Sus scrofa: one gene and its partners. The protein of the gene in region 1 interacts with the protein of each later gene in a pairwise test. Links are inferred from orthologs where the notes say so. Each region holds a gene or a part of one and is shown on either strand. Other genes may lie near its edges.

Region 1 (6,359 bases):
GCATGCCAGGGTGAAGTCAGAGGAGGTGCCCCCAGGTCCCTGCCTGTCCCTCACTAAGTCTTTATTGTCACAGGCTCGCTTCCATTAAAACCACAGCAGTGCTACTGACACATTACACCTTGCCGCGCAGTCCCCACTGGTGGGCTCTAGGCCTAGGTCCTCCTGGAGCTGCAGCCTGATGGTCTGGGATCAGCCTGCCAGCAGCTCCCCACCCTCACTGAGGTGCTCCAGTCTCCTAGGGGTGGGAGGGATGGGCGGAGCGCAGGCCAGCCTCTGGCCTCTCCCCACCCCCCACCCAAGAGGCCTGGGGCCCACAGCCAGCTCTCCTGGCTCCTCTGCTCCTGAGCTGGGAAACTAAGGATAGGCAGAGTCCTTCCTTGTCCCAATGGAAGGTGAAGTCCACTCCAGTGGAGAAGGTACGATTCTGTCTCCCCTCTGGGAGTAAGAACCCTTCTGTCCTGGCTGCCAGGAAGCCACTTCAGGGAAAATGGTCAGCGCCTTAGTTTCCTGCCTTTGGCTGTGCCTCATCTTATTGGGGCACCTGCCATACCTCAGGCCTTGAGGAGCCCCAGGTGCCAGATGCAGGTGGACATTCTAGGGCAAGGGGAGTTACCTGCAGGCCACCAGCACGCTAGGAGACGCCTCGAGACCTGCCTGTGATCCTGCTCTGCATCTGCCTCTCCCGGGCATGAAGTGAATAAATGAAATTGGACTCTGAGGGCCCCAGGCAGCAAATTTCACATCCCTGCAGGCCCATTTCCAGGACTTAAAAGGATTCAGCTATGCTCTTGGGACCTTTGTGGCTGAGGCCCAGCAGGGAGATGTCATGTGCCAAGTTAAGTCCTCACACTCTGAGCTGATGGTTACAGGAGCCAAGAGGCCTTCCATGGTCCAGTTGGACTGAAGGAAGATGACAGGTTGAGCCAGGACTGGCCCACGTGCATGGCCCTTTGGTCTCCATGCCTCATCCCATATCTTCAGGGACCAGAAAGGTGGTTGTGGGGCCCTCCCTGCTTGCCAGGCACAGCAGCCTGAGATCAGTAATCTTGTCCATTTTGCAGATGAAGCAGGCCTGTGCTGAGTGGGGGCTGAGCAGCAGCTGGGGCACAGACACTCTGCCATGTTTGACTGCCAAGGACATTGGGTCTGGGGATGGAAGTCTGTTGTTTTCTTGAAAACGAAGTAAATCTGGCCTGGATTTTATGACTGTTTCCAAAAAGGCCAGCTGGGTAAATCAAGGCTTAGTGTCAAGTGAAGGTTGCCCAGCATTGCCCCCGACCTCTATGCACACCACCCTGTCCCTCAGAGAATGTTGTAGAACAAGGAGCTGCTTGGGGAGGGGTTGCCAAGAACTGGGCTCTGCTCTCCACAGCCAAGAGCTTGGCCTCCAGGGTCTGAGCCCTCCAGGCTACAGCCAGTCTGGGGGGAAGCAGACCTCAGGGGAGGGAGGGGGCCCCACCCCCAGCAGAGGCAGAGAACAGGGCTTCTTTCTAGAATCCACTTTTTTTTTTTTTTAAGGGACATACTGTGTCAAATGGAAGTTCCCAGGGATTGGAGCTGTAGCTGGGGCCTATGCCATAGCCATGGCACCACTAGATCCGAGCTGCATCTGCTATCTTCAGTGCAGCTTGTGGCAACACTGGATCCTTAACCCACTGAGTAAGACCAGGAATCAAACCCACATCCTCACAGATATTAGTCACGTTCTTAACCTACTGAGGCACAATGGGAACTCCTAGAAACCGCTTTATTATGGCATCTGGCAGGTCAGACACAGCTCAAGTCAGGTCCCTCTCTAGGCAGATCCTGAAGGAGGAAGAGGCAGGAACCCTGATGGGCAGCTCCTCACTCAGGCCATGCTGCTGCTTAGCTGCATGGCAAAGTCGTGCACATGCTCCTTCAGAGTCTGGCGGGCATCTGCCTGTGCCCGCTTCTCCCGTGCCCGCTCCTGCTGCAGCTTGGTCAGCCGTAGCCTCAGCCGTTGCTCCCGCCGCTTGCAGGCCTGCAGTTGGCGCTGGGCCTTGTCCAGGGCATCAAGGGCAGCCTCAGCCCGCCGCTTCCAGAGCAGGGCACTGCCCACCTGGTAGCTGTGCTCATTCTGGATGTAGGCTCCAGCAGGAGGAGGGAGGCGCAACATGTAGGCTGAGGGTGACACAGGCCGAGGCTCCAGAGGGGACGGCTGCCGCTCGGGCTCCCGCTCGGGGGAGGGCTGGGTGCTGCAGCCTGCTTCATCAGCCTGGGCACCCAGGGGCCCCAGGAGGTCTGAGAACGGGCTGCTGAGGCCAGGCTCCAGCCTCCCAGTAGGGGAAGCAGACAGAGCAGCAGGTGCGGAGGCCTCTTCCACAGGAAAGCAGGTGACATCAGCAGGTGGAGGTGGAGAAAACGGAGTCGTGGGCCCTCGGCCCTCAGAGCAGCTACAGGGAGACAGAGCAAGGGACAGGCCAGGCTCAGGGCTCAGTGACCTCATTTCACCAGCCCACCTAACCCCCATCCCTGAACCATAGGCTCAGAGCCCTGTCCAGCAAGGCTCCATCCGAAAGCCCAGTCCCTCAGACGTGAAGTGGGACATCCCCCAGCGCAGCGCTTACCGCTTCCTGCATCGCCGAAGCCGGCTGACATCAGGGGGGCCGGGTGGGTAACTGTGCCCCTTGGTCTTGGCTGTTCGGCGCAACTTGGAGAAAGACTCAAATATTGTGGGGACTGCTCCCTCCTTCAGCCTGTGGTACCCACTGTAGGGGAAAGCAGTCTGAAGTAGAGAAGAGGGCCTGCACCCCAGGCTGACCTGCAGGGTGCGGAGCCTGCAGCCCCCCAGCCCCTGAACAGGATCCTGGGCTAGCACTGGGGCAGGTGGGAGGCACACTGCAAACAGCTAGTTTGGGGGATGCCAAGTTAAGAGGTACCCCATCTCCTCCATGAGAGCCTCCTGAGAATTAAGGTGACTGGAAAGGCCCCACCAGAACTGGGCTGACCCCCTGAAAGGAGCGGCTATGTTTGTGCCTTTGCTGGCGTGCCTGGGCTCCAGGAGCACCCTCTGGCACAGTGATACCCGGGGTGTGTGTGTCTCTAACTGCTTCCGTCCGGAGAGGAAATTGAGATTCTGAGCTGGGAAGAACCAGGGCGGCCTGCCCTGGTGTCAGCAGGAGGCTCACCTGATTCCCACCAGTTCAAAGCAGTTCTCCTCGAAGTGTTTGGAGCAGAAGTAGATGTACTCGGATGCTGGGTCCCACAAGCCCTGGCCGCTGGGGTCCAGCCGCTGGCAGTTGGCCAGCCACAAGCCTCGCCTCGGGTTGTCCTTCTTGGGAAGCCTGTAGGGCAACAAGCCTGTCAGAGCTGGGCCGCCGGCGACACACCGGATGGGAAGGGCCGGCCTGACTCATGCTGCCCCCGGACCCTGTGGGCACACAGACTAGGAAGCTGAGGCCTCAAAACGTAAAGCGACTGGCTCTGCACCAGGGTGCCTCTGACAGCAGCTAGTTCCCTCTCCACCGCAGCTCCGCCCACCATCAGCCTCTAACTCAAGCCTCGCCGGACCCGCCGAAGCGCGTGCGCAGTGAAGGCTCCTCAGGTGGGCAGGACAGACTAATGAACACGTGACCCTTTCGGCGCCAGCGCGCACGCGCGCTGACCTGTGGAAGGAGATGCCGCGGTTGCGCGTCTCTCGCGTGTCCCGCGTGCAGCAGCCGGCGGCGGAGCAGTGACGCGGCATCTGGAGAAGAGGCAGGAACTCGGTTGCGGGCTGCTATCTGGGCCCGGACAAGCCTCGCGCCCCTAGCCGCCACCCTGCTCCAGGCGGCCCCGTCCTGGCGCGTCCACACCGGCCCGATCTCGTCAGAGGCCCTTCCCAACCCACTCTCCCGTCTCCCGTCAGCGGCACTTACGGTCTCGCCATTGCTGCGCCGCCGAAGTCTCGCGAGATGTGGCTCGCGGCGGAAGTCGGTACCATAGAGACCCGGAAGCGCGCGGCGCTCGCTGAGGGGCGGAGCGGGCCCCGGAAGTGGTCGGCCTGCGGGGCGCCGCGCGCAGGACCGAAACGACTCTGACAAGAACGGGCTGGTCGTGCGATGCGGAGCCCTGGCTGGGCGGGCACGCATGCCTCTGATGAGAGGTGCCCCTTGTGGACGGGAGGGAGGCTCTGGGGCAGCTCCTCCAGAGGACGGGGCGAGGAGGGTGAACGCTGTGGTCCCGCGACTGTGACCCGGACCGCTTCCGGTCCCGGAGGAAGGGCGCGAAGGATCCGGAGTGTTTAAACTTAAAACATTTTCCCCGATTTCCCCACTGGCCTTATACTCTTATTCTGGAAGTAATACAGCAACTGAGGTGCCTCATTTTTTCTCTTTGGGAGGAAACATGATTTTTCCCTAGGAATTCGCTCGGAAAAGGCAAGTATCTGGTCGGGGAACTTGGCCGAAGAGCAACACAGGAGCAGACGACACTCAATACAGAAACTTTAATAGGTAAACACATCTGGAACGTTACAGAGCAGGGTGAAGGGGGGCCGCCTCGCCCTCCCGCTCAGTACTCCTCCCCCTCCTCGGCCTCCGCTTCCACCGAGTCCACGCCCACCTCTTCGTAATCTTTCTCCAGAGCCGCCAGGTCCTCCCGGGCCTCCGAGAACTCGCCCTCCTCCATGCCTTCCCCCACGTACCAGTGCACGAAGGCACGCTTGGCGTACATGAGGTCGAACTTGTGGTCCAGGCGGGCCCAGGCCTCGGCGATGGCCGTGGTGTTGCTCAGCATGCACACGGCCCGCTGCACCTTGGCCAGGTCTCCCCCTGGGACCACCGTGGGGGGCTGGTAGTTGATGCCCACCTGCCAGAGAAGGGGAACAGATGGAGACGTTTATACTGTGGCGTGAAAAATGGTACCTTGTTTTTTAAAACAAGGCCCCATGGGAATTGGTACTTTCTTTTTTGGCAGTATCTGACAACATTTAATATTCTTTGACCCAATACTGTCACGTTTTGGATTTACCCACATAAGAGCAAAAGCTACATGTATAGAGATTTTTATGTATTTAGTTTAGGGTACTGTTTGAAATGGCAAAACTGGAAACATGTCCTTCCTGGGGAACAAGTTATCACACATCTCTACAGTAAAACACGGTACCATGATGAAAAGGAATGAAGAACCTGCCCTGGCCTGTAAATATGTCCAAGGTGTATTGTATACTTGGTAGAAAGCAGAGCAAGTTGAATTCTACCTGAGTGTTTATACTTCAAAATACTTACAGAGTAACAACCAAAGCTGGGAGATACCATGCTGGAGGACAAACAACTGGTAGAGTGCGGACAGATGGCTGGCCCTGACCTAAGGAGCAGCTGGCAGCCAGCACCAGCTTGACGCAGCTCTTCTCCAGAGGAACTGGGAGCAGGGGGCATGTACAGGGGGTTCTGATCTGATCAAGGGGTGCCCCCTACCCCCCAGCTCTAAGACCAGGCTGGCCAGCCCTTCCAAACAGGATGGCTGCCACCTTGCTTTTCCCTTTGGCTACCTGTGTGCGATGAGTCAAGTCTGTCACCTACATGAAAAGAGTGTATTTTCTTTGCCTGTGTTGCTGGCCTCTTGCTGTCAAGATCACTACCAAGAAGCATGATGTGAATACGCACAGAGTATCTCTTGAAGGACAAAGCTCTGAAAGGGAAGAGGACTTCAGCTTTTCACCAGCTTTTTGGACCATTTTAATATTTTGCACCATACTTGCCTTTTTATAATGAAATAACTTAAACACAGAAAAGACTCCTTGGAAATAGTATACCCCTGAAAAAATGGTGAAGTCACAGACTAACAAAAAGGACTGGAAGCCATGAGAGTTCAACACAGTCCATCTGGGGCAGAACCATCTTCTAAGATTCAGAAGCTTCTATGGGAGTTTCTGTTGTGGCGCAGCAAAAACAAATCTGACTAGGAATCTTGAAGTTGCGGGTTTGATCCCTGAACTCGCTTCAGTGGGTCAAGGATCCAGCACTGCCATGAGCTGTGGTGTAGGTCACAGACACAGCTCAGATCCCATGTTGCTGTGGCTCTGGCACAGGCCAGCAGCTATAGCTCCGAGTTGACCCCTAGCCTGGAAACCTCCATATGCCATGGGTGTGGCCCTCAAAAGAAAAAAGAAAAAAAAAAGAAAAAAGAAGGAGCTTCTATGGACAAAGCTGTGACCTGTACCTTTCCACAGACCAATCTTCGCCTGGCTCAGGAATTCAGCCAGTGAGGAGGGGAATCGGTACAGGACACTACACCTCACCATGGTGCTGCCCAGCTGAAACCTCTATGGATGTCCTTGCCTTCCAGAGATCATGGTGAGTGGAGGATTTCAACCCCCACGTATAACTCTAAGGTCTGCAAACCTGTTACAAAAGGTT
Region 2 (5,577 bases), on another chromosome or scaffold:
CTAGTCCCCTCCGTGGCACTAGCATGGCAACAACTCAGGTTTGTGCCTCTGCCTGCTGCCTCACTGTCTGTTCGCCTCTCTTCCCCCCCGGTGGTCCTTCCCCCTCCTTCAGGTGGCGTGGTTGCTAGAGCCAGGCGCCCTGCCCGAGGGCTGGGATGGGGCAGGCCGACACCAGGTTCTCCTTAAGGTTCGGGGTGATGGAAGGAAATTGGAATGAACTGGGCACACCTTGCCCCTGGGTGGTTCTTACCAGAAATTAAATGACGGCTTCGGACATTTCTTCCCTAACAGAACCATGATGCTGAAAATGGTCCTGTTCCCATTGATGAAAACACGTGAGTGTCTCCCACGGTGACAGCAGTCCCCAGGCCACTGCCCATGACCCCCCTCTTTCCCCTCGAGCCTCCTGCCCCCCTGACTCCTGTATTTATCCCCAGATCTTTCTCATCCACCGAGAGCCTGCGACAGCTATCTCAGCAGCTCAACGGTCTTGTGTCCGAGGTACCCCCAACCTGGAGCCCCGAGGGGGCGAGAGAGGGAAGGAAAAGGTGGCAGAAAGGAACCGAGGCAGAGATTCCCAAGGCGGAGGGAAGGTCCTGGGAGCGGCCAGCTTGGCTGGACGATGTTTAGCTAATCATTACTTCCCTGAGTCTCCTCTTTGTAGCTGTACAGATGAAGGGGTTGGACCATGAGACTGGTTCCACCGTTCTGTCCTGCTGATGGGAGCTGCTTGGGAGGGAGGGACACAGAGAAGCTGGCACAGAGGGCTTGAGCAGGGGGAAGGGGACCAGCTTAGGCAGAAAAGGAAATGCTGCCAGTCGATGGGCAAGACAGGATGTCGGAGGGCTTAGGCCTCGAGGGGGACGGAGAACGTCTCCATGTGAGCCCTCTCATCTCTTCTAGTCTTCACCTTATATCAATGGGGAGGGCCTAGCATCTCCTGCTAACATAAAGAAGCTGGAGGTAAGTGGGCCTGGACCGTGGCCCCGTGACCCTGCAGGTCAGCCACCTCCCGCCCCCCCCCTCCTCCCACAGCGGGGGCTAGGTTCCCCACTGCCAGCTGAGACAGCTCAGACACCCCCCGACCCTAATGATTGCTCTCTCTACCTCTCCCCCCACCCTCCTCCAACTCCTCCTCCTCTCTGCATGCGCCTCAGAGCCGGTACCACGAACTATCACTAGCCCTGGACTCCAGCAATCTAACAAACAAACAACTCAGTAGCAAGATAGAGGAATTGGTAAGAGTCCAGTGTTGTCCCCGATTCCACGCTGCCAATCTGGGGCTCCAGTTCCACCTTGGGGCTCCGAAGAAAGGGGCTGGGGGCCCCTGGTACCGAGGGAGAATGGGGTGCCGGGGGCCCAGGTTGCAGTGAGAGGGACCCGGGAGTGCGGCATGCAGCATGGCTCTCTCTGTGGCTGCCCTCTTTGCCTCCTCTGTTCTCCAGACGCCCCTGCTGAGTCCTCCCCCCCCTTGCCCTGGGCCTGGTGCCTCTGTGGGTAACACTAGCTTGACAAGGGTGTCCCAGCCCCGGCTTCAGCCCCTGATTCGCTCCAACTTTGACCTTGGACAAGTCACCTGTCCTCCCTGGGCTTTAGGAGGTAGAATTAGAGGGCGTCCAAGGTCCCTTTGAGCTGGAAAAAAAAGAAAAAAAAAAATCAAAGATTTGAAGGTCCTTCTCATTCCTATATCCTTGCTGGTAAGAACACCCCAGCCCGTGGTATGTGCGTGTTGAGCGGATGCAGCCTCCCAGACTGCGAGCTGGCGGAGGATGTGGTCGCTCCCTTCTCACACTCCAGCTCGAGAGGCTTATGTCCTTGTCCTCGCAAGGGAATCAGGTTCAGACCCTTGGCTTCTGTAGCTGTGAGCCCCACCTCCCAAGACCCAGAGTCTCTTGGCTGAGAAGCGATGGCCCCTTCGTGTCCCCAGCAGCTCCTCCTTTGAAGCCCACCCCCGGCCCCTGCTCAGCCCTCCTCCTTGGTCTGAGGATTGTGGGAAAGGGGGCCGACCTCAGTCTCCTCCCTTTGCTTCTTCCCCACAGAAACAAGAGAACCAGGAAACTCTGGATCAACTGGAAAAAGTAACGTGATTTCTGTGTCTGTCCCCCTCACGGCTGGTGGCTTCGGGGGAGGGTTGAGACGTAGAGGCCCGTTCTCCTCGCGCCTGATCGCAGCCCGGAGAAATGGGGGGCTCCCTGGCCCTCGCCACCCCTCCCTCACCCCCGATTATATGTTCTCATTGGTGAGACTGTCCTGGGCCAGTGGTGGCTTTCTGGGGGGCACCTCCTCCAGGTGAGAGCTGTTTCTCCTCTCTTCCCGCAGGAAAAAAAGGAATTTGAGCAGAAGCTTGCGAAGGAACAAGGGGCTCTGAGAGAACAACTGCAGGTGAGTGGATCCTGCCGGGTTCCCTCGCGGCCTCCGGGAAACGTGACTTTGCTGCTTCTCAAGCCCCCCTTTCGGCCTTTGTCCCACAGGTCCACATCCAGACCATCGGGATTCTAGTGTCTGAGAAGACGGAACTGCAGACCGCCCTGGCTCACACCCAGCAGGCAGCCCGGCAAAAAGCAGGTGGGAACCTGGGTGCCCTGTGACCCCCTGGGCCGGGCACGCTGGCCGGCCTGGAGCGGGAGTCCTTCCTCGGGCTTCACCTCTCACGCCGTCCTTTCAGGAGAGTCGGAGAATCTGGCTAGTCGCCTGCAGTCTTCCAGGCAGCGCGTGGGCGAGCTGGAGCGGACGCTGTCTGCCGTGTCCACGCAGCAGAAGCAGGCCGATAGGGTGAGCCCGGCAGCCTAGCCCTCCCCGGACGTGTAGTGGAGGGCGAGTGAGCCCAGAGGTCCCTTCCACAGGATGGGGTGACTTGCTGCCCAGAAGGCGGCACTGGCCACTTCCCGCTGCTCTAAACTCGTGTGCTTGATAGAAGCAACCCAGGCATGAGTTGGTTGCCATGGGCCAGTTGCCCGTGTGTGTGTGGTGTGTGTGTGTGTGTGTGTGTGTGGGCGTGCACGCAAGTGCAGTCACAGTGGAGGTGCTGTCTAGTGTGAGCCCTGGATGCAGAGCTCAGAGTCCGAGTGCCAGCCCTGCCCTTGCCTGGCTGTGGGCCCTGGCCCCCATGCTAGGTATTTGGACTGTGAAGGTCCATGACGGTATTTTTAGTACGTTGCCAAACTAAAGAGGGGAGACGCACGCGTGTGTGATGTATTCAGACATGTGGGGAGGGATTCACAGCAACCTGGTGGGGAGGAACAGGGTGGCTGAGAGACTTGTCACTTCTGAACCTTCTGAGTTTGGGGCTCTGCAGAGGTACCATCCACTCAAACCATGAACACAAGCTCACAATACAGTTCAATCCCCCTCATAATGCACCCCCCCACCCCAGGGAGAAAACGTGGTTAAAGAATCAGACAGACCTGGGAGGTCCCGTTGTGGTTCAGCGGGTTAAGGACCCAACTGGTATCCATAAGGATGTGGGTTCGATCCCTGGCCTCGCTCAGTGGGTTAAGGATCCGGCATTGCTGCAAGCTGCAGCGTAGGTTGCAGATGCGGCTCGGACCTGGCTGTGGCTGTGGCGTAGGCTGGCAGCTGCAACTCTAATTTGACCCTAGCCTGGGAACTTCCACATGCCACGAGTGTGGCCCTAAAAAGGAACAAAGGAATCCAACAGACCTGGAAGCTTGGTCCCAGCTCTGGGTGATTTTGGGGGAGCCACTTGCTCTCTGCTACTCCGTGCTGGGCACCTGTATGATGGAGGCAGTAATAGTAACCGCCTCCCACGGTGATTATGAGGCTGAAAGGGGAAAGTGCTGGAAAAGGTTCAGACCTGGTGACGGTAACGGTGATAGAGCTGGTGGTATTACCTGCCGGCCCCGGGCCTGGGAGCCAGCCAGCCGGGAGTTAGACCCTCCACCCACCTCTTCCACTCTTCCCGAGTTCCTGTTAAAACTGAATGCGAACGTGAACTTGGGAAGGGCTTTGGAAACATGTAAAGTGTGACACCAGGTGAGGACACGTTGCTGAGAGTTACTGTTGCTGCCGTTAGTCTGTTTTCCTGACCTCAGCCTTCCGCCTTTGCAGTACAACAAGGAATTAACCAAAGAGCGAGACACCCTCAAGCTGGAATTATACAAGAACAAGTAGGATGGGGAGGACGGGGCGGGGTGGGGGGCCTTGGCTGGTGTGGGGCTGCCAAGTTGGGGGGGCATCCCAGTGAGCGGGGTGAGGAGGCGGGAGAGGTTTCGACGAGAGCAGAACTAGGCTCTCATGCCAGCTGTGCCGCCAACTCATGCTGCGGCCTCAGGCAACTCGTGTCCTGTCTCTGGCCTGCCGCTTGTGACTCCTGATCCCGGGGTCCCTTCCAAAGCGACTGTCCTGTGGTCCTGTGCCGAGGGTGGTGGGTTGATCACCAGAGCGGTCCTTTGCTTTTCACTCACGCCTCCCTCCCCTGCCTCCGAGCGCAGCAAAAGCAATGAGGACCTAAAGCAGCAGAAGTCGGAGCTGGAGGAGAAGCTGCGGCTCATGGCGACAGAGAAGGCAGCCATGCAGCTGGGGATGGAGGAACTTCAGAAGAAGCTGGAGATGTCGGAGCTGCTGCTGCAGCAGGTGGAGCTGGAGCCCCAGGGAGGGTGCCCCTCTGCCCCCCGCAGCAGGCCAGGGTCTCAGGGATACCTAGGGTGGCCTTGGCCAGGAACTAGAAGACTTGGATCCTTGTTCTGGTCCTGCCATGGAATCCTCCAGAGGTGGGAGAAAAATTAAGGCCTTGCCCAGACCTCCGGAATCATAATCTCAGGGATGGGTTTGCTTTTTTGTTTTTTGTTTTTTGTTTTTTGTCTTTTAGGGCTGAACTGTGGCATATGGAGGTTTCCAGGGTACGGGTCTAATCGGAGCTGTTGCCACCGGCCTACATCAGAGCCATAGCAACACAAGATCCGAGCCGTCTGCGACCTATACCACAGCTCACGGCAATGCCAGATCTTTCACCCGCTGAGCGAGGCCGGGGATTGAACCCGCAACCTCATGGTTCCTAGCCGGATTCATTTCAGCTGTGCCACGACAGGAACTCCGGGGTGGGGTTTTTGTTGTTATTGTTATTGTTTTTCGGCCAAGCCCGTGGCATGTGGAAGTTCCCAGGCCAGGGATCAAACCCGCATCACAGCAATGACGGATCCTTAACCAGCTTCGCCACATGGAACTCCTGTGTTTATTTTTTAAAACACCCTGGTCGAAAACCGTTGTTTTGTGAATGGTGGTTATAAGGCCAACTCGTGAGTCTGTTTCCTCCCTCTTGGGGTCAAAAGCCACCAGGTAGACAGGGTGCCTGAAGTCAGAGAACCTCCCCTTCAGTTTTTCTGCCCACCCGGCAACTGTCTGCCTTCATGCCGTCAGTAAGGGTGAGCTGGGGGTGTGCCGTGTGCACACAGTGACCGCGATGGAACCACGCCAGCAACCCAGTGCGTCTTCACTTTGCAGCAAAGTGAAGTGAAGTTGCAGAACCATGTTCGATACCACTCAACGACAGCACAACTGCAGTGTGCATTAATTAAACGTGTTTGCATGTGTGTGGGAAGGGTCTAGAAGAATACACAC
Region 3 (5,577 bases), on another chromosome or scaffold:
CCCTGAAGCACATCTGTCTCATCCCTACAACCCTCTGCTGGTTGCAATTTCTCAAAACATTCTGTTCCTGGCTTTCCTAACATGTGTCCCAATTTCTAATTATGTATTTTTTTTCTTTCTTTCTGTCTCTTTCATCCATTGGACTCAGCTGCACGAAGGCAGGAATTCTCTGTTCACTGCTGCAGTCCTCAATTTACAACTTCTGGCACATACTAAGTACCCAGAATTTGTTCGGTTAACAAATAAAGGAACAGAATGGAATGTGATGCTACCATTCAAACATCTCCGAAATATGGATGGCACAGGCAATACCTACAGCAAGATGTTAGTAGGCAAAACCAAAACTCACATTCAGTATTAATTCAACTACTGACAAATGCATAGACAAAAACACACTGGAAGAAGAATTTCCATAATATTAACTCTGGCTAGGTGTAAGTAAAAATATAAGGACAATTACTTTCTTCTGCATGTTTTTCTACATGCAAAAAATTTTTACAGCAGGTATGGATTCCTTCTATAATAAAAGAATACGTAACACCTAGAGGAAACCACACGAGCAGAAGAATGGATGGAGAGGGGGAAACAGAGACGCGCAGAGAACTCAGGACAGGCCACGGGAGGAGGGAGGAGGGCCCTTCTGTAAACAAAACTGGTGTTCAAGACGTGTGAACAGGGAGTTCCCGTTGTGGTTCAGTGGGTTAGGAACCCATTTAGTATCCATGAGGACGTGGGTTTGATCCCTAGACTCGCTCAGTGGGTTAAGGATCCAGCGTTGCCGTGAGCTGTGGTGCAGGTGGCAGATGCGGCTCGGATCTGGCGTTGCTGTGGCTGTGGCATAGGCCGGCAGCTGTAGCTCCAGGTAGACCCCTAGCCTGGGAAGCTCCCTATGCATCGGGTGTGGCCCTAATAAGCAAAAAAAAAAAAAAAAAAAAAAAGAAAAGAAAAGAAAAGAAAAGGATTTGTGAACAGATGAAAAGTGTGACATGGTCACTGCTGGACTGCAGGAAGGTCCCTCTGACAAACCACATAGCCCGCAGGCCCAGTCCAGCCTGCTGCAGACACGCCTCATGTAACTGCACTTTGCAGATAGTTCATGTTTTGTAAATGGAAGATCTGTGGCAACCCTGCCTTGAGCAAGACTCTTGGTGCCATTTTTCCAACAGCATTTGCTCGCTTAGTGCTTCTGCGTCACATTTCAGTAATTCTCACAATATTTCAAATTTTAAGTTGTTACTCTGTTTGTTGTCAGGATCTGGGATCAGTCACCTTTGAGGTTACCAGCAGGACGTGCTGAAGGCTCGGAAGATGGTTAGGGCTTTGAATAAATAAAGTTTCTTTTCTTTGAATAAATAAAGTTTTCCCATGCCCGCAGCATGGGGAGTTCCAGGCTAGAGATTGAACCCATGCCATGGCAGTAACCCAGGATGCTCCAGTGATGAGAGAACTCCCCTCCACCACAAGAGAGCTCCCCAGTATTTTTTTTATTTATTATTTATTTATTTATTTATTTATTTTGTCTTTTTGCCATTTCTTGGGCCGCTGCTGTGGCATATGGAGGTTCCCAGGCTACGGGTCCAATCAGAGCTGTAGCTGCCGGCCTACACTACAGCCACAGCAACGCGGGATCCCTGACCCACTGAGGAAGGTCAGGGATCGAACCCGCAACCTCATGGTTCCTAGGCGGATTCGCCAACCACTGAGCCACAACGGGAACTCTGAGAGAGGTCCCTAGTAGTTTTTAATTAAGGTATATCTATTGTTCTGTGAGACACGGTGCTACTGCACACTTAACAGACCACACTACAGGGTGGACATAATTTTAAATGCACTGCGAAGCCAAAACTCCCTTTACTGCAGCATCGGCTTCACTGTGTGGTCCAGAACTGAACCCACAGCATCTCCAAGGCCTGCCTATATCTGGTTTTGTAAATTGAATTGTAAATTGAAAACACAGCTGGACGCATGTATTCACGTTCTGTCTATGGCTATTTTCTTGCTAAGTAGGGGTTTTTTTGGTTTGGTTTTGTTTTTGTTTTTGTTTTTTTTCTGTCTTTTTGTCTTTTCTAGGGCTGCACCTGCGGCATATGGAGGTTCCCAGGCTAGGGGTCTAATCAGAGCTGTAGCCACCGGCCTAGGGCCACAGCCACAGCAATGTGGGATCCGAGCCACATCTGCAAGCTACACCACAGCTCATGGCAACGCTGGGTCCCTAATCCACTGAGCGAGGCCAGGAATGGAACCCAAAACCTCATGGTTCCTAGTCAGATTCGTTAACCACTGAGCCACGACGGGAACTCCCTTGCTGAGTAGTTATAACACAGACCATTATGGCCCCCAAAGCCTAAAATATTTACTATCTGGCCCTTCACAGAAAAAAAAAAATTTCTAAACCCTAGTCCATAGGATGTATCAGAGAAGGGAGAAAATACAGGAAGTGAGGTGGTGGTTACAAGGGCCATTGTTTTAAGGTGACGTGGAGGATGACAGGTGCAGAGAGATGAGCCTTGTCTGTATCTACAACCAGATGGAAGAACAGAACAAGGATCTTCTAAGGCAGGACAGGCACTCATGCTTAGTTACCATCATTTTACGTGATTTATGCTGGTTAGGTCTCTGCTGGTTCTAACACTTTATGAATCTTTCAGGAAAAAGCAGCCCTTGTGGCCCTGGTTACCTGCAGGGTCGGAACTGTAGAGAGCGGCAGCGGTCGCTAGGGTTCCTGGCGGGTGGATGGCGCTCGCTGAAGACCTCTGACTTGCGATCAGGATCCGACTCTTGGCAGACGGTAAACGTGACATCGCGCCCAATCCCAACTGGGGCTTAAGGAGCATGGCCGATCGATAGAAGGTTGGAGGAACTTCATAGTGCGTATAGGGAGGAGAACAAAATTCCTCTTTTCCAGGGCGTTCTGCAACCTACGATAAGTGACCAGAAGCTCAGTCAGAGACCCGAGCATCATAGGACGAGTGCTGAACCCAGTCCAGACACCACGGCGCCAGCAATGACCACCGGGCACCATCGAGTCGCTCCACCCCCCGTCACTTACATTCACTGGACCCCGCGTCTTCATCTCCAAGTGGACCACGGCTGGATGCCCTCTTAGGTCTATGCTGGTTCTAACACTTTATGAAACTATATTTCCCTGGGAGAAAAAAGAACCCCCTCTATAAGATTTTTAAATTTGATCACCCCCAAACCATTGGAATTTGTGCAAGAAGTCAATCTATAAATAAAGACTGTCAATGATGCAAGAGGAGAATTTAGCAAATGTTCATGGAATTCGGAAAGTTCCATGATTGCTAAGGAGGAGAGGCACAATTTTTCTAGTGACCTAGTCTTCCGTGAAGTTGATGAACTTTATCAGGTGATGTGACGTCTTTATTAGGCTACTTAGGAAATACACTATGCACGGTTAATGAGGGAGAAAAGGTTATTGGGAGGAATGGAGAAGTTAATGCAAAGACGTCTTTGCTCAGGCCTCTACCTTCTGTTTCCATAATTAAAAAGGAGAGACTGTGAACTACCTCTGATTATCGTTCCTAGTAAGGTGGTGCCTGCAGGAATGTTTGAGCAAGTCTCACCAGGATGGAAGTTGGGGGCAGAGTCTTGCGTGAGGACTGCTGAATGCATCGCACCTAGAACAGCATTTAGCGCAGGGGCTGAAATCAGCAAACCTCTGGGAACTAAAGGGATCGTGTTTCCTTCTTTCCTGAATTTAATCACGTGACACCATGTGACAGTCTGCTGTGGTTCACAGGGCGGATGAGGATACTATTGATGGCTACCTTTTAAATAGGCAATCCTGTACTCACAAGCCTGTTCACAGTATCAGTGTTTCTTCACGGTAAAAAGAGAACGAAATAATCTTATTTCTTTTAAGTTAAAAAAAAAACAAAAAACATAGTGCCAGAGGCTACATTTGAAAAGATACAGATGTTAATTAACTCCGCTCTAAAATCACAATGCATTCGACTAGTCAAACCTCCATCTCTTCAGAAATCACAGGCGTTTAACCATATTCTTTAATAGGGGCTGTAAAGCTGTAATCCCGGATGTGGAAGCGATAAACCCTTAATTTAATACCCTTTGACTGTTGAAAGAGATACAAAGTTCTCCTCAAATTGACATTATTGAAACAAAAGACGAGGCCTTTAAAGTTTTATCATAATCACATTATAAAATATGCATGATCGCTAGAGCAGATAGATGGAATTCAGGCCACGGCAAATTCAATTCCTGTGAAAGAACATTCTACATCTGCTGCCTGATAAAATTTTCACCATTTTCTACTTACGCTCTTACTATCAATCCTCGGCTTTTCTATTATACTCACATTTCCTCTATTTTTTTTTAAATTTTACTTTCTAAATGTTTGGTGTCATTGCTCATTGCTTTTAGCTGGTGCTCCCATGAAGAAATCAGTATCATTTCTAACCTACATCTGCTGAGATTTTAGGATTGCAGTGTCCTCTGTGTCAGTAATGATTCTGTTCTTTCAAACCGGACAGACTCCAGGGGTCAAATCCATCCCACTGTTGGAGTTCCCATTGTGGATCAGCAGAAATAAATCTGACCAGCATCCATGAGGACGCAGGTTCAATCCCTGGCCTCGCTCAGTGGGTGAAGGATCTGGCATTGCTGTGGCTGTGGTGTAGGCTGGCTGCTGCAGTTCCAATTCAACCCCTAGCCTGGGAACCTCCAAATGCCACAGGTACAGCCCTAAAAAAAAAGAAAAAAAAAAAAAAACCCACCCCGCTGTCATTCAAAAATAACTTTAATGTTTTCAAGAGCTTCAATGTCTATCATTTTGTTGGGTAATTTGTCTCTAGTAAGATAACAAATTCTTTACAAAGGTGAGACGTATGCCTCAGATGCCTCATCTGTGCACTTTTAATAAAACAAGAGAGTCTACAAAAAGCTTCACATGCTTTGCTTTCATCTCTATTGACAGGACAGAGCAGGATTCACTGCAGTCACAAATGCAGACAGATTCAACCCAAATGGGGCTTTTCTCTCCTTCTCTAAAGGAGTCTTTCTAGAGAAATAATTTTGAAAGCAAACTAAAGCATCTTTGTGATTTCAAACTTCTAAAATCTCTCAAGTCACACAAGGAACTAATAAGTTCTCACTAGATTGTCCCCCTTCCCGTTTGCCCTGTCCTGTTCTCAGGGGACCATGGGCCGGGGAGACACCAGGCAAATGCTGAAGCTTCACTGGGACAGGTGCAGGGAGAGGGCTGGGGATGGCTCATGGTGTCACCTTGATAGGCAACGCAACTCAGAGAGTTGGGCAAGGATTATTCCAGATGTTTCTCTGAAGGTAATTTTTTTTTCTTTGGATGAGATCAACATTGAATTCAGTAGACCTTAAATAAAGCAGATTACCTCCTGAGGTGGGTGGGCCTCATCTAATCAGTCAAAGGCCATAACAGAAAAAGACTGACCTCCCTCAAAGAAGAGGGAAATCTGCCAACTGACAGCTTTTGGACTTGAACCGCGGCATCAACACTTCCCTAGGTCTCCAGCCTGCCAGCCCACCCTGCAGATTTTGGATACGCCAGCCTCCATAACTGTG
Region 4 (6,375 bases), on another chromosome or scaffold:
CTCTCTCCTGGCTCAAAGCTTTTGCTCAAACTGCTCAGTGGGGGTGGGTTGTCATGACAACAGTTCTGCGGGTGGGAAGATTAAATAGGGGACATTGCCATTGTTTCCCCCTCCCACAGATCCCAGAGTCTGTCTGGTTCACTCAGCCTTTGCAGAAGCGAGGGAAGCAGCCCAGAGGCAGGGGATGACCTTGGCCTCCAGAGTGGGCCTGCCCCCTCCCTGCAGGGAAACTGGGAGAGGAACAGTTGAAGGACGGTGCTTAGAGGGCTTGGACTAGCTCTGCCACAAGGAGCTCAGAGGAAACCCACTGCCTGGCCCCTGGTCCTCCCTGTGTGCAACCCAGTGGGTCGGGCAGAGGGCATAAAGAGACCAAAGACACCTGAGGCCCGGGGGGGAGAAAGGAATCCATGGGGTACATAGCGCCCCCGGCCCCCACCCCCTACCCCGTACTGGTCCCCCGGAAAGCTCCCTCCCTCGTGCTCTTCACGGGCAGCTCAGGGCCCCAGGCCAGGTTGGTCAGAAATGCCCAAACAGAAGTTGTTTGTTTTTGTTTTTGTTTTTTGTCTTTTTTTGTCCTTTTCTAGGGCTGCACCAACGGCATATGGAGATTCCCAGGCTAGCGGTCAAATCGGAGCTGTGGCCACCAGCCTATGCCAGAGCCACAGCAACGTGGGGTCTCAGCCACGTCTGTGACCTACACCACAGCTCACGGCAACGCCGGATCCTTAACCCACTGAGCAAGGCCAGGGATCGAACCCACAACCTCATGGTTTACTAGTCAGATTTGTGAACCACTGAGCCACGAAGAGAACTCCCCAAACAGAAGTTAAACGTACCCGCTTTGGAGTTCCCACTATGGTGCAGGGTGTTAAGAATGATTGCAGCAGCTTGGGTCACTGCGGAGGCGGGGGTTCAATTCCCGGCCTGGGGCAGTGGGTTAAAGGCTCCATTGTTGCCACAGTTGCAGTGTAGGTCACAGCTGTGGCTGGAATTCAGTCCCTGGCCTGGGAACGTCCATATGCTGCAGATGTGGCCATTAAAAAAAAAAAAAAAAAAGTTAAATGTACTCCTTAAAGTTTATAAACAATAATCTCCAAAGGCAGAAAAGAGAGCCAGAGAGACTAGGCATGGCTACTCCCTGGCTCCCACTGTCAGCGCAGGCAAGCATGCTTAACTTGTGTAAGCGTGCTTCCTCTGTGAGACGGGAAAATGATGATTGCTTTTCTAACTCTAATGACAGCAAAAAACGTTTCATGTGTCTGGTGCGAAGCAGGTCTCAATGGCGAAGCTGTAAAGCAAAGGCAGATCATTTGGGTTCAAAGCCTGGTTCTGCTTTTCACTTTTTGTATGACTCTATACCTCAATTTCTTTTTCTTTTCTTTTTTTTTTGTCTTTTGCTTTTTCTAGGGCTGCTCCTGCGGCATATAGAGTTTTCCAGGCTAGGGGTCTAATCGGAGCTGTAGCCACCAGCCTACACTAGAGCCACAGCCACGCCAGATCTCAGCCATGTCTGCGACCTACACCACAGCTCACGGCAACGCCGGATCCTTATCCCACTGAGCGAGACCAGGGATCGAACCTGCAACCTCATGGTTCCTTGTCAGATTCATTACCCACTGCGCCGTGATGGGAACTCCTACACCTCAATTTCTTTCTTTTTTTGGGGGGGGGCACATGCAGAAGTTCCAGGCCCAGGGATCAAACTCAAGCCACAGCAGCTACAAGAGCCATAGCAATGACAACACTGGATCCTTAACCCGCTGAGCCACCAGGGAACTCCCTGTACCTCAGTTTCTTCATCTGTAATATACCATCTACCTAATAAACTGCTGTGAGGACTCGTAACATGCTCAACACGATGCCTGGCACTTGTACTTGGTGAAGTCAGTTTCCAGAGCAAGACACTCTGAGTAAGCTCTTTCTAGGCCTTGAGCTAAAGTTTGCACAGCGAGACAAAGCTGGACCCCTCGCTTGGATCAGCACAATTACAGCCCTACTCTGGAGAATTTAACAATTGCTCCAACCTTCCAGGCCAAGTAGACACAGGGCATTCAAACCCTTCCCCCAGGAAGCCTTCCCTGATTACTTTGCCCACAAAGCTCTCCTCCCAGCCTCTGAGGTTGTCAGGGAGCCTCCATTTCCACCCTCTCCCCACGCTCCACAGTTCAGCCTGGCACAGAGCTGGGCACACAGTAGGGCTCCAGGAAGACCTGTCCGCTGACATATTTACTGTGGGTTCCTGTTTCTGGGCCAGAAAGTGGCTGGCAATTCCTCAGTTCCCCAGAATTGGCTGCAAAGTGGTGGCAGGTGTAAATCACCCCCTTCCCCGGAACCAGGGAGCCTGGGGAGTGTGTGCCCAACTGCCCTTTTGGCTCTGAATCTAGATGAGCAGCAACAGGAAAGGGGAGTTTGGGTACCTGCTTCTTTCGCTTCTCCTCAGATGAGATGCAAATATCCAGTGTACTTGGGGGTTGGCAGGAAGGAGACTGTGTCAGAAGTGATGGGACCCCTAGCCTGGGAACCTCCGTATGCCTCAGGTGCAGCCCTAGAAAAGCCAAAAAAAAAAAGGAAGAAGTGATGGGACCAACACTGCTGGCGCTGCTCCTGTGTGTCTGCTAAGGTTCTAGGAACTTTTGAATATTTTAAGTGGGTGCGGGGGGGCGGGGGGGTGTTGAGGAAAGAGGATGTTTTTAGTGGCCCTAGTCCAGGCAGTTTTCACCCATATCGCTTCTGTGCGAAATCTTGTGGTGGATACTGGGGCCTGAGAGGAACAAACCCTGGGCCCAGTCTGCAGAAGGAGAAAAAACTGGTCGCCCTGTAATGGTGGCTAGGCCGGGAGAGGTGGCCTCCAAGTCAGGGGGAGCGGGAGATCTGTGCTGCGCCAGGTTCTCAGGGCTTCCCCGTCCCCTCCTCTCCCTCCCAATTATTTGGCAGGAAAAAAAAAAAAAAACTTAGAAAAACCGGCACCTCCCATCCTGATTCCTCAGGACCCACGAACACCCCACCCACCCTAGGTGGGGAAGGCGTTCAAAGGACCCCAGGGTTTAAAGATTGATTAGGTCGGAATCCTGAGGAGTTGGGCGGGGAGTTTTAACTCCCTCCTCTCCAGCCCAACTCCGAGAGCGCGAGTCCATCCCTCCCAGCCCCATGCTAGGGTCTCCGGCCCCCTGGCCCATGGAGCCCACACTCACCAGCTCCGTCCTCAGCGCCATGATCTTGTCCCCCAGGCCGTGGCCGGTGCTGGGCGCCCCTGGGAGCAGCAGGGCGCCAGAGGTGCCCGGCTCCCACTCGCCTCGCAGCCCGCGCAGCAGCCCTTCGGGGGTCTTCCTGCCCACCTTGCCCTCCACGTCTCGAAGGTCAGGCGTCTGGGACTCCGCAGTCCCCTCCATGCGGGTCTAAGGCTGCACAGGGATGGGCGACCGGAGCCGGGATCCCGCTCCTGGGGGTCCTCCTTCCTCGGCCGCTAGTACGGAACCAGTGGGTCCCCGCCCGCTCAGTGCGGGGGCGGGAGGAGGGCGCCGTAACCCTCAGAAAAGCCGCGCAGAGCTCTGTGTGTTTGTGCGTGTGTGATTGCGTGTGTTTGCGCGCGCTGGCTCCGAAATGGGTGAGGCTGGGCGATCCTGCTTATGCACCTGGAGGAGAGCTCAGCGCCTGCTCCCGACTCTGGCACTCAGTCCAGCCAGGTTGTCAGCAGGCGCCCAAAGAATGTTTGCTGAATGAAGGTTAAGCATTTGCAGTTAGGGATGTGGGATTTTAAGGAACAGTGGTAACAGAGATGCAGAGGGTTTTGGAAGGCTTCCTAGAGTAGAGGAGCTGAGTCTGTAACAGTGGAGGAATTTAGCTACCCACTGATGCACGCACACACAAAACCAGTGTAGCCACTAAATTTAGACTATAAGCGTGGAAAGTCAAGTTCTTCTGGCCAATGAGGGGCAGCCAGTATTGAAGCTGAAGGGGTCCAGATGGGCTACATCGTGATCTTGAAAACTGATGCCTCTCAAACTTGACTATGCATATGTGAAGTTTCTGTGAATCTTGTTAAAATGCAGATAACTGTTCCATCCATCTGGGGTGGGGCCTGGGATTCTGCATTTCAAACAAGCCCCCTGCCGACGGCCCTGCTGCTGGTCCAGGGACCACACTTGAGTAACAAGGTTATAAAGATGGTTCTGTGCGTGGATTTTATTCTACGGGCAATGAGGTGCCATAAAAAACTTTTTATGCTCTAGCTTGATTTTGATTTTCAATCCGAGTTATTCAAGCCCATCATTACAGAAAGATGTGTAACGAAAACATAGCTATTACCGCCATCCTATTCTTTGCCGCCTCTAGTCGCACTACCCAGAGGCAATTACTTTTAGCTATGTTTTCCTGGTGCTTATACTCATAACTCCAAAATAGGTTTGTAGCACTATGTCTTAACTTTCACATGATCTGCTACCTATTATGAAAAATATGGGTTTACCTCACAATCTGTATTTCCCTTCTTCCATTGGTCCCACACATTTCTATCGTTATTTACTTATTTATTTATTATGGCTGCATCAGCAGCATATGGAAGTTCCCAGGCTAGGGACTGAATCCGAGACACAGCCGTGACCTATGCCGCAGCTGCCTCAATGCTAGATCTTTTAACCCACTGTGCCAGGCAAGGGATCGAAACCCATGCCTCTGCAGTGACCACAGCCACTGCAGTCAGATTCTTAACCTACTGCACCACAGTGGGAACTCCTACATATTTATTTATTTATTTTCTCTTACAGCCACACCTGAGGCATATGGAAGTTCCTGGGCTAGTGGTCAAATTGGACCTGCACATGCAGGCCTATGCCACAGCCATAGCAACACCGAAGCCCAGCCACATGTGAGAACTACACCACAGTTCATGGCAATGCTGGATCCTTAACCCACTGAGCAAGGCCAGGGATTGAACCCACATTCTCATGGATATTAATCGGGTTGGTAACCTGATGAGCCATCATGGGAACTCTCCTATTTTTTATCTTTTAATTAAAAAAATTTTCTTTGGGCGTTCCTGTTATGGCTCAGTGGTTAATGAATCCAACTAGGAACCATGAGGTTGCGGGTTCGATCCCTGGCCTTGCTCAGTGGGTTAAGGATCTGACGTTGCCATGAGCAGTGGTGTAAGTTGAAGACGTGGTTTGGATCCTGAGTTGCTGTGGCTCTGGCATAGGCTGGCAGCTGTAGCTCTGATTAGACCCCTAGCCTGGCAACCTCCACATGCCGTGGGCGTGGCCCTAGAAAAAAAAATTTTGTTTTCCTTGGCCACACTCAATGCAGGTGGAAATTCCCAGGCCAGGGAGTGTACTTGAGCCACAACAGTGACCCAAGCCTTTGCAGTGACAACATGGGATCCTTAACCCTTGCACCACAGGAGAAATCCCATGGAAGGGTTCGTTTTCATCATAAACATTTTAAGAATTTTTGAATTGGAGCAGAGTTGACTTACAAAGTTGTAAGTCAGGAGTACAGCGAAGTGAATCAGTTATACATGTACACATATCCACCTCTTTTCAGGGTCTTTTCCCATATAGGTTATAACGCAGTACTTGAGTACATCTCCCTGTACCACACAGTAGGTTCTTGTTACCTGTTTTATATACAGTAGCGTGTATATGTCAATCCCCACTCCCTAATGTACCCCCGCCCCAACATTTTCCCTTTGGTAACCATAAATTTGGTTTCAAAATCTTTCGGTCTGGTTCTGTTGTGTAAGTTGTTCTGTATCATTTTTATTAGATTTCACACATTAGTGATCACATATGATATTTGTCTCTGTCTGACTTACTTCGCGTGGTATGATAATTTCTAGATCCATCATGTTGCTGCAAATGGCATTATTTCCTTCGTTTTCATGGTTGAGTAATAGTCCATGATATGCTTCTATTGTGTATATGTCCCACATCTTCTTTATCCCATTCTCTGTTAATGGACATTTAGGTTGCTTCTACGTCTTGGCTATTATAAATAGTGCTGTAATGAACATTGGGGTGCATGTATCTTTTCAGATTATGGTTTACTCTGGGTATATGCCCAGGAGTGGAATTGCTGAATCACATGGTAGTTCTTTAACTTTTCTTTCTTTTCTTTGCTTTTTAGGGCTGCACCTGCAGCATATGGAGGTTCCCGGGCTAGGAGTCAAATCAGAACTATAGCTGCTGGCCTATACCAGAGCCACAGCAATGTGGGATCCAAGCCGTGTCTGTGACCTTTGCTACAGTTCACAGCAACGCTGGATCCCTGACCCACTGAGCAAGGCCAGGGATCCAACCCGAATCCTCATGGATACTAGTCAGACTGGTTTCCTCTGCGCCACCATGGGAATTCCTCTACATTTACTTTTTAAAGGAACCT
Region 5 (5,671 bases), on another chromosome or scaffold:
AAGGAAAAAAAAGAAGGGGTTGGGGAGAAATGAATCAGCGGAAATGAATCTGACTAGCATCCATGAGGACACAGGTTTGATTCCTGGCCTCACTCAGCGGGTTAAGGACCAAGCGTTGCCATGAGCTGTGTTGTAAGTCACAGACTCAGCTTGGATTCTGCATTGCTATGGCTGTGGTTTAGGCCAGCAGCTACAGCTCCAATTCGACCTCTAGCCTGGGAACCTCCATATGCCATGGGTGCAGCCCTAAAAAGACAAAAAAAAAAAAAACAGCTGCTGTTACTGACTATATCTCAAGAGACCAAGGGGATGTCAGAAGGGCGGATGTGATGAAGTACACCTATACAAGACAAAGGACCAGCATTAGAAGTATGGAAACCAGTAATACATGCATAAGGTCTAAGGCAGGTCACTAAAATATGCAGTATTGTATACCTTATTTTCCAAGATGTGATCTTCCATACTGATGCAAAAATATTATTGTCTGTTAATGATTTTGCAAAAGGATTAACCAAAGAGGCCCTTAAAGTTATATAAACTCTCAGACATTTAAAATTTTTGACTTATAAAAACTTTGTACTTGGGAGTTCCTGCTGTGGCTCAGTCGGTTAAGGACCCACCACTGTCTCTGTGAGGATAAGGGTTTGATCCCTGGCCTGGCTCAGTGGGTTAAGGATCTGGAGTTGCCATGGCTGTGGTGTAGGGCCCAGCCTGTAGCTCATATTTGACCCCTAGCCCAGGAACTTCCATGTGCTGCAAGTGCAGCTGTTAAAAAAAAAAAAAAATTGTGCTTACATTTGGAGACACATAATACAAAACAGACAATAACAATTTAAGTATGCATAAGGAAAACAAGGCTGTTCAATAAGGTGGACAAATCTTAATAACTGAGCTTGTTAACATAAAAAACAGAAGAGGCAGTTATTTTATCAGCAAAATGGGTTTGTTCTGGAACAGCAAAGAACTGCAATTAGGGTCAAGAAGGTTATAGTAAAAGCCACCACAAAGGAGGAAGTTGGGAGCAGCTGTTTTGAACAACTGCTCAAACGGAGGAAAGCGAGAGTTCTGGGTGATGAGGGGTTCCCACTGCCTTAGTAGCTGGGGTAGTCAATTTCTGGCAGGAGATGCAACTCACATCACTTCTATCAGGAATTCAGTCTTTCCTGTTACTTAGAGTGGCAGTGCATGAGTGCTCCCCCTTCTGGCCTCTCGACTCCATTTTTTTTTTAATTTTTTTTAATTAATTTTTTTAGTTAAAAAAAAATTTTTTTTTCAACTCTATTTTACACAAGATTTCCCCCTATTAATTTTCACAAGCTCAATACCAAAAAATAATTTCAGAGCCACTGAGTAACCTAACCTGGAATAATATTCAGGAGAAGTTGCTGGTGAGAATAACTATAAAACATGCTGAAGTACTAACAAGGCCTTTGGAGGCATCTGCTCTAAATAAAGTGTTTTTGTTCTAAATATGTTTCTGATCAGAATCAGATCTTTAGACCTAAAAACCTAAACAAAAGCAATATTCTAGTCTCAACCCACATATTTCTGGTAGAAAGACACTTTGGAAGGGTACCTCAGTTAATCAAGCATTTTACTGGCACCAAGCATTTTACTGACACTATCAACATCTTTAACAAAGAAATGACACACTTTACTGCAAAAAGGGCAGCTTCCCCAGGAATCTCTGAGAGGCAACTCAAGAACAAACACTCATACAATTATCTTTTGTATCTAGCACAGAAAAATATATCATACTTAAATGGTTTATAAATAATTACTAGTATGACCTAATCAATAATCTTTGGTAATAGTGTCTCTTAATTAATAAGTATAGACAGGAACTCCGTTTTGTTCTAGAAAGCATCCTAGCCCCACTCTAAAAGCAGACATCAGAGCTTGGCTGAGATAGTAGGAAAGGGACAGAGAAGAGTACGAATGAGCCTGAAAACTCATAATTCAACTTCATTAGTGAGCTCCTTGATTCTGTTCATGCAATGATCAACAGCATTAATAAGTAAAGGGATCCAGCTATCTTCTGGCTGTGGGGTCACATGACTTGCTCTGTGAATGGAATGGGAAAGAGAAATTAAATGTATTTACACTGACTGTCAAGGGAAAACCTATCCCCAACAGAGAGCACAGGGAAAACTACAGTAAGAAAAGCAAGTTTCTTTGCCGACACTCAGCTATTTCACAAGTGAAGATGAAAGAAAACACTATACCCACTTTCTCCTACTCCTCAAAATGGGGGTGAAGGAGTTAAGAATGACTGGACAGGTTTATTCTCAAAAAGCTATTTGGGAAGAAGTCTTCATACTCACTTTGTAATTTCCAGTGCTTTCTCTAAAACAGATACAAGTTTTGCAGCCTAGGAAAAAAACAAAGAAGTTACTCACTTTGAGCCCTACCATAAAAATGAAAGGAATAAAAAAAGAAAAGGAGAGTTAAAATATTTTAAGGAGCTCCTAAAGTTCCCATGTGGTATTGTCACTGCTGCAGCTTGGGCTACTGCTGCAGTGCAGGTTTGATCCCTGGCCCAGGAACTTCCCCATGCTCTGGGCACTGCCAAAAAAAAGAAGTTTAAAAAATATCTTAAGGAGTTCCTGCTGCGGTGCAGCAGGCTAAGGATCTGGCATTGTCACCACTGCAGCTCAGGTCACTACTATGGTGTGGGTTTGATCCCTGGTCTGGGAACTTCTGCATGCCAAGGGTGTAACCAAAGAAAAAATATTTTAAGACTCAACTAATAAAAACTCATTGGAAAAAAAAAAAAAAGAAACCTTGGAGGAAACAGTCAAAAACAAAAATGACTGATTAGATTAGGATGGTGGGATCATGGATTATTTTTTATTTAGCAAAATCTTATTAATACCATTGCTGTAATACCTTCATAAGCTTTTTTTTTTTTTTTTAATTTAAAATAGTTTTAGAGGAGTTCCTCTAAATAAAACAGAGGAGTTCCTGTTGCGGTTCCATAGATTAAGAACCTGACTTGTATCCATGAGCATGTGGGTTTGATCCCTGGTCTTGCTCAGTGCATTAAGGATCCAGTGTTGCAGCAAGCTGTGATGAAGGTTGCAGATGTGGATTCCTATTCTACTCCAAGGTGTCTGTACACTGTGAAGATGCATTTGATAACTTTAACTTCCACTAATTTATCTAATAAGGGCTGATACATCTAATGGTAAAATATTAGCCATTGGCAGTTCTACTTCTCTTTCCAATAAAATGATAAGAACTTAAAGTTTATAAAAATAAGAGAATAGAACTTGAGCACAGAACCAAGGACTTGAAAGTATAATAAAATCAGATTTTTATAAAGAGATTGACTCTTCGTGGTTAAATCACACATGTATTGATATTAAAGCAAAGTGTTTTTTGTTTTTGTTTTTTGGTTGCGCCTGTGGCACGCAGAAGTTCCTGAGCAAGGGACTGAATCTGCACCACAGCAGTGACAATGCTGGATCCTTAACTGTTAGGCCACCAGGGAATTCCCAGAGCATGCTTCTGAATCACTTATTTTGGCCTATAGCAGAAATTAGAAACTTGAGATTTCAGGTTGAGAGAATCCTAAAGCACTGCGGCAATTAAGACTTTCTTTTCAAAGCAGCATTTTTCTAAGGTCTCGAGGTTTTTCTAAATAATTACCCAAGTGGTTATGGAAGAGAGTACTACTAGAGCTCATTAATTCAAATTCAGCAAATATTTATCAAGTACAAACATATGTAAGAATTATGACACTACTGTTGTACTTGTACCAAGCATAACAAAGAAATACATTCCCTATAGCTTAAAGGAAACACTAGTGATCACTGAAATTCTATCAGTTAGGTCTGTGGCTACTCCCTCAAAGCCAGTACTTACATTGAGTCGCACAGTCAGGTGGCACACAGGTGGGTATATGCTCAGAGCCAAATCATCCACACTAAGGGCAGAAAGCAAAAATAACCATTAATACCCCAAAAAGAGTAACAACAACAAAAAAAGCTCAGCTAAATGATTTCTAATACACAACTATGGATGCAACTAGTGAGAAAATAACTCAGAAATATCTATCGGTTCCTTAAACCGGGCAACCAATGAATAACCAATTCGACCGGTATTTACTGAATACATACACACCCTGTTTCACGAAAGAGCTAGGGAAAAAAACTCCCTTGGCCATTAGGATGGAATGTGATTAATTCAGTTAAAAACATGAGGATCTGAAACCATCAATTTAATAACTGACACAGGCAGGGTTCATCCCTGAATGCCACTAAAATGGGCACCACTTTAACCAAGCAATCAATTTAGGACCACCAATAATGGGACAAACTAATAACTATGTGCCTCCCTGATATAATGCAATGAAAAGCAATTCTTGCCAAAAAATGTTTAAACTGAATATAATCTATAATCATGAGAAAACAATCACATGAATCCAGACCTTTGGATTTTCTAAAAGGCAACTGATCTAGACTCTGTAAAAATGTCAATGTCAAAAAAGGTTAAAAATGGAGTTCCCACCATGGTGCAGCGGAAACAAATCCGACTAGGAACCATGAGGTTGCAGGTTCAATCCCTGGCCTTGCTCAGTGGGTTAAGGATCCGGCGTTGCCATGAGCTGTGGTCTAGGTTGCAGATATGGCTCAGATCCTGCATTGCTGTGGCTGTGGCTGTGGCCGGCAGCTACAGCTCCAATTTCACCCCTAGCCTAGGAACCTCCATGTGGTACAGGTGCAGCCCTAAAAAACAAAACAAAAAAAAAGTAAAAAAAAAAAAAAAAAAAGGACAGAGACTATTCTAGTTGCAAGAGACCAAAAAGGGGAAAAAAAGAAAAAAGCTGTCAGAAATTTTACAGACAACTGGAGAAATGTAAATATTAGGTAATGCTGTTATATTCAGTGATAAATTTCTTATATGTAACACGAAGAAAAAGCATAAGAATGTCTGTTCTTAGAAGATACATGCTGAAATTTAGGGGTGAAATGTCATCAATATCTGCAACTTACTCTCAAATGGTTCAGGGATAAAAATGCTACATCTAATTATAGAGAAATAAATTAATACAGAAAAAAATGTGAACACCACCACCTCACACTGGTCAGAATGGCTATCATTAATAAACCTAAAAATAACAATGCTAGAGAGGCTGTGCAGAAAAGGGAACTCTCCTACAATGTTGGTAGGAATGTAAAATGTTAAAACCACTATGGAAAACAGTATGGAGGTTCCTCAGAAAACTAAATGTAGAACTACCATATGACCCAGCAATTGCACACCTGAGCACATATCCGGACATAACCATAATTCAAAAAGTTACATGCACTCGTACACTCACAGCAGCCCTATTCACAATAGCCAAGATAGGGAAACAACCTAAATGTCCATCGACAGATGAATGGATTAAGAAAATGTGGTACATACACACGATGGAACACTACTCAGCCATAAAAAAGAATGAAATAATGCCATGTCCAGCAACATGGATGCAAACAGAGAATCTCATATAAGTGAAGCAAGTCAGAAAGAGAAAGACAAATCCCATATGATATCACTTATATGTGTAATCTAAAACATGGCACAAGTGAACCTATCTACAGAACAGAAATAGACTCACAGACATAGAAAACAGACTTGTGGTTGCCAAGGGGGAGGGAGGGGGATGGATGGGGAAATTTGGTGT

What was found.
Region 2: the proteins of THAP7 (region 1) and GOLGA2 interact in binary tests that used the Homo sapiens proteins (3 or more experiments, as listed by UniProt). The two-hybrid records come from large-scale screens. The link is inferred for Sus scrofa from reciprocal best matches to the Homo sapiens genes THAP7 and GOLGA2.
Region 3: the proteins of THAP7 (region 1) and MTUS2 interact in binary tests that used the Homo sapiens proteins (3 or more experiments, as listed by UniProt). The two-hybrid records come from large-scale screens. The link is inferred for Sus scrofa from reciprocal best matches to the Homo sapiens genes THAP7 and MTUS2.
Region 4: the proteins of THAP7 (region 1) and LURAP1 interact in a two-hybrid assay, tested with the Homo sapiens proteins (2 studies listed by BioGRID and IntAct). The two-hybrid records come from large-scale screens. The link is inferred for Sus scrofa from reciprocal best matches to the Homo sapiens genes THAP7 and LURAP1.
Region 5: the proteins of THAP7 (region 1) and CCNDBP1 interact in binary tests that used the Homo sapiens proteins (3 or more experiments, as listed by UniProt). The two-hybrid records come from large-scale screens. The link is inferred for Sus scrofa from reciprocal best matches to the Homo sapiens genes THAP7 and CCNDBP1.

The regions. Positions count from the first base shown.
Region 1 is NC_010456.5:50,589,683-50,596,041, forward strand, and holds THAP7 (THAP domain-containing protein 7), read right to left. Parts: upstream 4,097-6,359; 5' UTR 4,092-4,096; coding exon 3,879-4,091; intron 3,707-3,878; coding exon 3,627-3,706; intron 3,306-3,626; coding exon 3,150-3,305; intron 2,730-3,149; coding exon 2,589-2,729; intron 2,415-2,588; coding exon 1,850-2,414; 3' UTR 1,730-1,849; downstream 1-1,729. Other genes in the region: tubulin alpha-3 chain, read right to left, coding at 4,513-4,809. UniProt on the Homo sapiens protein: Chromatin-associated, histone tail-binding protein that represses transcription via recruitment of HDAC3 and nuclear hormone receptor corepressors.
Region 2 is NC_010443.5:268,708,676-268,714,252, reverse strand, and holds part of GOLGA2 (golgin subfamily A member 2), read left to right. Parts: coding exon 1-38; intron 39-291; coding exon 292-335; intron 336-437; coding exon 438-501; intron 502-903; coding exon 904-963; intron 964-1,157; coding exon 1,158-1,238; intron 1,239-2,039; coding exon 2,040-2,078; intron 2,079-2,319; coding exon 2,320-2,382; intron 2,383-2,471; coding exon 2,472-2,565; intron 2,566-2,665; coding exon 2,666-2,772; intron 2,773-4,068; coding exon 4,069-4,127; intron 4,128-4,451; coding exon 4,452-4,593; intron 4,594-5,577. UniProt on the Homo sapiens protein: Peripheral membrane component of the cis-Golgi stack that acts as a membrane skeleton that maintains the structure of the Golgi apparatus, and as a vesicle thether that facilitates vesicle fusion to the Golgi membrane.
Region 3 is NC_010453.5:6,202,219-6,207,795, reverse strand, and holds part of MTUS2 (microtubule-associated tumor suppressor candidate 2), read right to left. Parts: intron 2,919-5,577; coding exon 2,678-2,918; intron 1-2,677. UniProt on the Homo sapiens protein: Binds microtubules. Together with MAPRE1 may target the microtubule depolymerase KIF2C to the plus-end of microtubules. May regulate the dynamics of microtubules at their growing distal tip.
Region 4 is NC_010448.4:165,204,293-165,210,667, forward strand, and holds the start of LURAP1 (leucine rich adaptor protein 1), read right to left. Parts: upstream 3,900-6,375; 5' UTR 3,390-3,899; coding exon 3,192-3,389; intron 1-3,191. UniProt on the Homo sapiens protein: Acts as an activator of the canonical NF-kappa-B pathway and drive the production of pro-inflammatory cytokines. Promotes the antigen (Ag)-presenting and priming function of dendritic cells via the canonical NF-kappa-B pathway.
Region 5 is NC_010443.5:128,254,854-128,260,524, forward strand, and holds the end of CCNDBP1 (cyclin-D1-binding protein 1), read right to left. Parts: intron 3,929-5,671; coding exon 3,868-3,928; intron 2,372-3,867; coding exon 2,325-2,371; intron 2,065-2,324; coding exon 1,953-2,064; 3' UTR 1,578-1,952; downstream 1-1,577. UniProt on the Homo sapiens protein: May negatively regulate cell cycle progression. May act at least in part via inhibition of the cyclin-D1/CDK4 complex, thereby preventing phosphorylation of RB1 and blocking E2F-dependent transcription.